Linked DNA regions of Drosophila melanogaster. The protein of the gene in region 1 interacts with the protein of each later gene in a pairwise test. Each region holds a gene or a part of one and is shown on either strand. Other genes may lie near its edges. The genes, in order: CG14535 and HP6.

The links.
Region 2: the proteins of CG14535 (region 1) and HP6 interact in a two-hybrid assay, tested with the Drosophila melanogaster proteins (one large-scale study listed by BioGRID).

The regions. Positions count from the first base shown.
Region 1 is NT_033779.5:7,852,441-7,857,563, reverse strand, and holds the start of CG14535 (uncharacterized protein), read left to right. Parts: upstream 1-2,088; 5' UTR 2,089-2,540; intron 2,541-4,197; 5' UTR 4,198-4,262; coding exon 4,263-4,607; intron 4,608-5,123.
Region 2 is NT_033779.5:4,576,940-4,580,206, forward strand, and holds HP6 (heterochromatin protein 6), read right to left. Parts: upstream 1,280-3,267; 5' UTR 1,165-1,279; coding exon 844-1,164; 3' UTR 780-843; downstream 1-779.

The DNA.
Region 1 (5,123 bases):
CCAATTTTGTTGGACTATGTCTTCGATGTGCAAATATCTCGATCCGATTCGCTTGAACCTATGTAAAATATTTATTTTCGCAGACATATTCTTCAGCGACGTCGTTATACTAGTCAATGCTTCCTGTAGGTCAGATAGTTGACCCTCCATCTTAAGTTCTGACCTATTGGTTCTGTTCTCGATATCCTCTGCAATGATCTTCTTCCACGATTCCGTTAGCGATGTCTTCTGGCTTTCAATTTCTTTTTCAATATCCCTCTGTTGGGCCTGTATTTCTTGCAACTTGCAGGTTTTCCACTGTTCCTGGTGCTGGGCAATGTGACCGATCAATGGCATCAGCGCTTCGAGGCTTCGACACGATCTGTCTCCTCGCATCCTGAAGGTGATGCATTTATAACTATTGCGATAATTGCGTAATATAGGAGAACTTTCAGCTGGAACATGCTTAGCAAATTGAACCTCTTTAGACGAACGTTTATAATGCACTAAATGTGAATTCCTATGCTGCAGTCTGAACAGCAGCGCAATATTGTTGATAAGAATTTATAGATATAATATATATTTTACTGGAAAAATAAATATCATGCTAAGTATTTTCAGCTTACGCTAAAAATAAAAAATAATATAAGCTATAGTGATAATTATGACAACAGCGCAATATGAACAGCAGCGCAATATTGTTGATAAGAATTTATAGATATAATATATATTTTACTGGAAAAATAAATATCATGCTAAGTATTTTCAGCTTACGCTAAAAATAAAAAATAATATAAGCTATAGTGATAATTATGACAATACTTGGATTGAAATTATATATAAAAGCATATCATGAAAATATATTAAACAGTAGTACAGATAAGCAGGAACTTTTATGTTAAATATAGTTTAACGATTTCTTATTTTCATTGCATGTTAATGAACTCAAGATTCAAACTACAACGCCGTTGGCGTTGCCACGTTATGTTCGCCCGCCAGATGGCGCCGCAGCTAGCCTCCAAACTGTACGCAAGTGCTTCTCAAACTTTTTATCTCCATTCACCGAACTTGAGCTTTGTTTCGTTTATTTGCTTGCGTTTTATTTTCTTTGGCGCTTGGATTGCATACAATTTGATTTGCTCGATGCGGAAAAACGATTTTCACGGAATTTCCCTTAAGTATTAAGATAATTAGTAGCGAAACACCTTAAAACGGATTGGATTACAGCCCTTTTCCCGCAGCCACCTTAATAACAATCAGCCGGGTCCACTTTAATTGACCCGTTACCGTTGTCCACTTGGTGAAAAAAAATGGAAAAAAAGTAGAGGTAAATCCGTGCAAGCCCCATCCATTCCGGTGCACACATGCTTTTAAACCCGAACACACACTCAACAGCTCCTTCACGAGCCTGCCAAATGTAAGCGAACTTAAAAACACATCGTTTGCATTTGGCCCCTCTGCCCACCACTCACCCATCCCCATCCACGAAAAGCCCCATCATCACCTCACGCCCACTCTGCCCCCTGAAAAAGCCCCCTCCATCAGCAGAAACTCCAAGCGGCACTTAAGTGACGCTCCAGCAGCTCAACTATCACCATGTCCATATTCCTTTTATTCCAGGTACTCACGCAGAAAAAAGGTATATTGTATTTGTACTGTTGCATCCCAGAGGCGGTAAAAGCTATGGATTTCAATCTTTGAATGCTAACGCCTGCACTTTTAACTCAATTTTTGGGGATAACCAACTTTTAAGTATTTATAAAAAAGATTTTGTTATCTATTTCTTAAGCTATATATTCTTTTAATAGTTTAGTAATAGTGTTTAAAAATATTTAACAATGAGACCATACTTTATAAATTTTTTTTTTTTTTAAGTAAAACATATTTTTTGTATAATACATTACATTATTGTTTTAAGGTAAAGAAATAATGGTTACTAGCGTTTAAAGATCGAGTGACCATGGACATCTTCTAGTAAAGACGAGGTATCACTCTATTTTAATGTTCCTGGCCAGTGAGCATTTTGACGTCTACAATATAAACATCATTTACGCTGTTCCTTTTGTTTTAGCCTCGCTGATTTTGTTTACCTGAGCCTCAAAGCCACTGTCGTTGGCCGAAAGCAAGAGATTTTCCGAAAGAGAGTGAAAGAGTGAAAGTCCGACTACCCTTGGGGTCAGCAATGTGGCGTTACCATACGCGATTCGCTCTTTCTTCTGGCACGCCTGCGCCAAAGAGAGGCGGAAAACTCTTGGGAAATTCAGGCCCAGACCGAAGACCAAAACCGAAACCAAAAACCCGACTTCAGTTGCCATTGTAATGCCAACGCAATCGGCACGCGTTTGGCTTTCGCGCCTGGCGGGTTTTTTATTTATTATTCGCTAAAGTGACAAGCCAATACAAAAGAAAAACAACAAAGCTCGCTGAGAATCGGGGAAAATCCCAGTGTGTTGAATATAAAGTATAAATCATGTGCGAGGAAATCAAGGCAATTTGGAAAGTCGAAGGAGTTGAGCCAAAGATGAAATCAACAGCGAGAAATTGCCAGTCATAAAAAAAGGGTTTGTGTTTGTTCCTGTTTCGTGTGTGTTTGCGTGCCAGTGTGCTTGTGTGTGTGTGTTGTGCCAAAAGGGAAATCCCTTAACCCCCGCCTACCCGCTACCCCGCAGGACCCTTAACCCCTGACTTCAGCTAGACTCCCCTATTGTGCGTCGTGTACAATTAGAAGGCATTGCCAATCGATTTGTGTGAAAAGCCAAAGCTAAAACTCAAAAGGTGGACGACGCCAGTCCTCCAATAAAAAGCGAACTGAAACCGGGCAGGCAAAAAAAAAGTAAGGGACAAACCCATATAAAAGAATGGAAAAGCTGCCGAAGAAGTTCCCTCCAGTTGGCAGGTGCGCGTAGCCTGAAAAATGAAGTTGAACCGACCCGAAGTTGTTGCCTGTCATTCAAAGGGGATGGCAATGGAATGGCAATACAGAAGAGGCCAGCGTGTATGGAATGGGGAAATTGGGGCTGGGAATCGGGGGACAATATTAATGAAAGACGTTGCAAAAACGTCACGTTTTCCCCAGTCAAATTGAAATAATAATAATGAAGGCATTGAAGAAATGTCACGGCCCGCGACTGACAAGTAAAAATGAAGAAATCCAGTGGAATTTGCATGAATATCTCAAATATATGTAAAGTTCAGCACAACAAGTAAAGTTAATAATTTCAGTGATATAAAACATAACAAGCACGATAAGAAGCATGCCCCAAAAGCATGCCATTCCGATATCTAAGTTTGAGTGACACGCCTTAGAAAGCCCATCCCAAAGGAACATTTTAAAGATGTTCAGACAGTTCCTCAGAGAAATGAAATAATAACTTAATTAAACTCAAGAATAAAAAAATAAAAATTTAAAAGTTAATAAAGCTTTGCAAAAGCAACGGAACCTTTACCAGAAATATTGTGTGACTATAACAAATTTAAATTTAAGGTATTAGAAATTAAACCACATTTAAATATATAATCAATTCTAACAGTAATCATAGAAAAGTTTTTAATTAATTTTTTAATTAATACTGTAACTAAAGTCCTAATGTTTTCGGTAATAGAATGCAAAACCTCTAAAACACTTTATAGCTCCAACAAAGAACTGAAAATTGTTAAAAGTCTGGGCTTAAAACTTTTTTTAATGACCGAAAGGAACTTAAAAGCGTGTACATAAACTTTTCAAATAGAATTAAACTGATGTGAAATACGACAGTCCCAAAAGAACACTAGAAAGACAACGAAGCGCATAATTTCCCACCATAAAAGCCCAAGCAAATTCAACATAAATTTGATTTTATGCACAAGATGCTACAAGTGAATAAAACACGAGCTTAGTGACAGTGACAGTGCGAGCGTGATAGTGATGATAGTACAGTGAAGCATATGCCCAATAAACAGATGGCCCATAACCATAAAGCGAAAGTGTTATGGCCATTACCGAAGGGCAAGGACCCTTCTTGGCGGCAGGACCAAATAACTTATGCCCATCGGGCCGAACCGAAATCGCAATTTATGACAGGCCCAGCAACTATTTAAAGAACCATAAAACCCCCAAAAAACAAACAAAGTTTATGGGGAGTGACGATTGCATTTTAAGATCCCCAGACATAAAACAAAAGCCAGGATTTGGGCCTCTTATTAACTCCCAATTTTATTCGTTACCCCTCCCCACAAAAGGAAACGCAAGTGCTTCCAGCAATAAACTTCCACCGCCAACTGTGGCGAACAATAGTCAAGGAACCATGGCCACCACCAGTACGTCAAACATGTCCCGCAACGGTGGCTTCTGTGGTGCATTGCAGCGGGCACCGCCGCCGATGCCGCCGACCCTCATCCGACGCCTGAGTAGCCGGGAGTGCTACGGAGTGGGCAAGGTGAAGGTCATGCTGCGGGTGGCGGACCGGGACAGGAACTCCGGCGGAACCGAGCCGGACTTTATGGCCCTGGACAAGAAGAAGCGACAGGTCACGCTCACCGATCCGAGAACCGCGTGTCCGCCGCCCCAGGCTGCCCAGGAACGGGCGCCCATGGTGGCCGCTCCCAAAATGTTTGCATTCGATAACCTCTTCACTGGCGAGGATAAGCAGGTGAGTTTCAACCTTAACGAAAATCTGAATGGAGTGCACGTTCACACATGGATGTTGAACCAATTTATTTAAAGCATCCTTAGATCCAGAATAAGTTTAAGAAATAGGTATAAAACATCATAAGTATAACATCAATTAAATCAAGTTGAAATATTCTAAAAATCGTTTGAAAAATATGTAGTTAAAAGTATTAATTCTAATTTATTTAAATGTAAATAGCAAATTTGTTTAAATAATAACAAACAAGAGCAACCGTTACCAAGTAAACTAAATACTTGATTGGTTACTGTTGACACACAGTATAATTTAGGTGGCAAATAACCCTTATTAACAGCTATTAATTCTTGATAAACAAACAAAAGGCCCACCTAATAATAATAAGGGTAATACAATATTGACAATAAAACCATTCATTATGTACAAAAAACTACAAAACTTCCGGCAACTGAGAGTTAACACTTTGCCAGTGTACTTTGCTTTTCTCAAAATCAACAAAACTTTCCAGACTTCTCGCGA
Region 2 (3,267 bases), 3.3 Mb from region 1:
ACACCCAAAAAGATTGCGACCGGATGCTGACGCGTCATCGATGTCGATTGCATCCAGTAGTTGGGAATTTTTCAAGTTAATTCGTGCACTTTGCATGTGAGTGGCAATTGGGCTTTGATTGATTTCGAAATGCCAGGCGGCGCCCCATTTTATTTCGCTTCTTCTCTTTCTTGTGCGCTTTTGCCATAAATCTTGCATAAATCGATTTAATCTGCCCCTGGCCACGCCCACCTGCTGGTGGGCCCCTCAATTAATTATACTTTTTCAATGTCAAAATGTCGCTGCAAGAAAGGTGCGCCACCAATTTAACCCTTTTTTTTATGTACGTATTAGTTGACTGCGTGAATCTTGAGGCGCCTGCAACATGGAATCTGAGAGCTGAGTCTGATCCTGCGGCTTAACCTTCTTTTCTAATTGCAGGTTTTCCAACGCCCCGATGTGAAGGTCACTGACAGCATTAAGTGCACTGGAAAAAGTTTAATGAGGCAAGTGCACCATTTATGAACTGTTTTTTTTATGAACTTTCAAATACCCCTACAGACTTTTCGCTCGGTGTATACATACACGTATAATTTCGCGCCCGGCAGATAATGCCGCCGGCCTGTCTCCAACATCAAGCTGCGTCTAGGAGGCGGAGGGCGTGGCTGGGCCGAGCTAAACTCACTTATTCACCTGCCCGCATGCCAACAAAGTGCAGCATCAGCAACCAGTTCGCATGAAAATGCATAATCAATCACCAGCGACAACGGCGACCAGAAAATGAAGAAAAACTCGTGGCAGAAGAGTCAATACTCTTTATTGACATTGCACCGCAATGTCTTCGGTGCACAATAGTTTTATGGACTAGGCATTTCGTGATCGTTTCTTCCTGGGACTCGGAGTGGTCTCATACCCATTGTCCGACTCCAAGTCTTCTTCATCGCCCTCATCCGTGAACACAATACGCTCCTCGTAGAACGAGATGACCATTTGGGGGCACCGAACGTTGAGCACTTCGGCGGGCACCAGGCCGGCTTCGTCGCAACCCTTCCACTGCATCAAAAAGGTCAGCTTACCGGACCAGTTGCAGGCTCCTAAGATCCGCAACGGTTCGAGTCCAAGATCAAATCCATTTCGTTGCTTCACCGGAAGAGCAGTAGAGGACGTCAAAGTGGAGCTGGGCATCTTCCGTTTGGTTTTAGATATCGTGGGATTTATTTCAATGTAATCTATTTTTCTTTTTTCGACGCGCGTAGCCAATTGTCACGTTTTGTCAAGTGTTTACACACCGAGATATTATTTTTCAGTTTCGATAACTGTAGGTATCGACATGCTTTGGCAACCCTTTCGATGTGGCAGCCCTAAATGATTAATTTGAAAAGCGTTAGAGAAAATGGAAATAAAATTGTACACTCCCCTTGACTGGACATATTCTTTCAGATTTAGTTAGGGTATTGTGCATTCCAACGCCCATTGAGCGTATCATTGGTGCATCTTCATCTGACATTTCGCACGACTCGAATGTCAAGGCGCGATTGCCGGCGATACTACTTGCGATATTGGCCTCTTACGCGGCTCCACTTGTTAACTTGAATTCGTGTAAAGTGGCCGCTCATTAAAAACTCATAAATCAGGGCGGAAGGGAGGAGGGTTTTCGGTGGCACCGCCGCCAGTAATTGCCGTTGCTGGCCCAGTGTCAAAATAAAGGCAAAATAAAGGAACCCAACTCGTCGGCGGAAATGATCGGCCACCAGGTGATGGGGATGGTGGGAATGGGGCATATGGATACTACAGCTAGCTGCCAGTAATTTCCGCATATTGGAAGTCTCGTACTCTCAGATGGGCATGTGATTAATGATTAATCTGCTCGGTGCATCCGCCGCTATGACATTTAGCCAACGCCGCCTGAGAACCCGCTGCAGCAACAAAAAGAATCCGATTCGGAATCAGAAACAGAAACAGAAGTCGGTGGCGGGGTGGCCAGTTAAAGCCGAGGTCTCCGGTCGCCAGTTGGAGCCATTAAACGCCGCTGGAGCTGCTTGGGCGCACAATTTAAAGCAGCAACTAACGCAGTTAGACAACAAACCACTTTCAAGAGCTGGCTGGCAAACAGGGAAAACGGCTTTCAACTCGTTTCGCTGCCCGCTCAGATGCAGTTGCATACACTGAGGAAAGTGATGTATGAGTTCTTCAATTTAATCGATTTTTGTGTAAGAATATTTGGCTCGGTGTGTATGTATTCCAGAAAAATAATTAATTCCAAAAGTATTTAGAAACAACATAAACTTTTTCTACATTTTCCAAAAGCTTTTATATTTAAGAACATATATATTATTAGTTTTTCATAGGAAATAATTTTCCTTCTCAAAACATATTTTTTCAAGTGTACTGCCGTTAATGCTGCTGATGCCGTGGGTGCAGCCGTTGAATGTTGCATGCTGCTAGTACGTTCAACTTTTGCAGTTAACAGTTAGATTTTGAAATGGCCAGCAGCACTGGCATCGTCGTCGGCAATGGTATCGGTTCTCTGGGATTCCAGTTTTCTGGCCACAGCCTGAGAACCCGGCGATCAAGATGCGCGGCTCCACCACGACGGAAGGAAATTGCCGTCCAAGGCGAAGTCACAGCTCCGATCGCAGCATTGCGCACATCAAATAAATACTGGTACTTGGCAATTTTTGTGTTAAAACAAAATTAAAGCAATGCCAGCCGTGCTGCTCTGCGGTGTAACATTAACCCAAATACATAATTCCCATTCTCGCCTCATCGGCATCGGACAAGGATCGGCGCATTAATCATTGGACGGCAGGGGGACAGCTCTTGGGAAGCGGCAGCATATTTGGGTTTATGGGTGAGCCCCAGTATCCTAAGCAGGAAATCATTAGAGTGCGATCCAAGGAATCCGCAGGGGTTTGGCTCATGCATACATACTTATACGTATTTCTTGGGAATTTTTTTATAGATCTTGGCTCTGCCTGATGGTCGGTTTCTAAGCCATCAAGCGGAGATCATCGCGTGACTGGGCAACAAAAACCCATTATAAATTCCTCACATTTATGATGTGTCCTTCTGTCAGCGATGATAAAAGATCCTACCAATCTGTTCTAGTCTTGTGAAATAGTCGTGTTTTGGTGGAGATAAATATATATTGATCATGAGTGTAAATAAGCTTGCCAAGAGCTGTTGGAAACTATTTGTGCAACATATCCACTTCTAAGAAGGTAGGTTTTTCGCATGGGCATGTGAAAAATAAGAGCTTTAAACAAAATCTCCATCTTATCCCTTTAT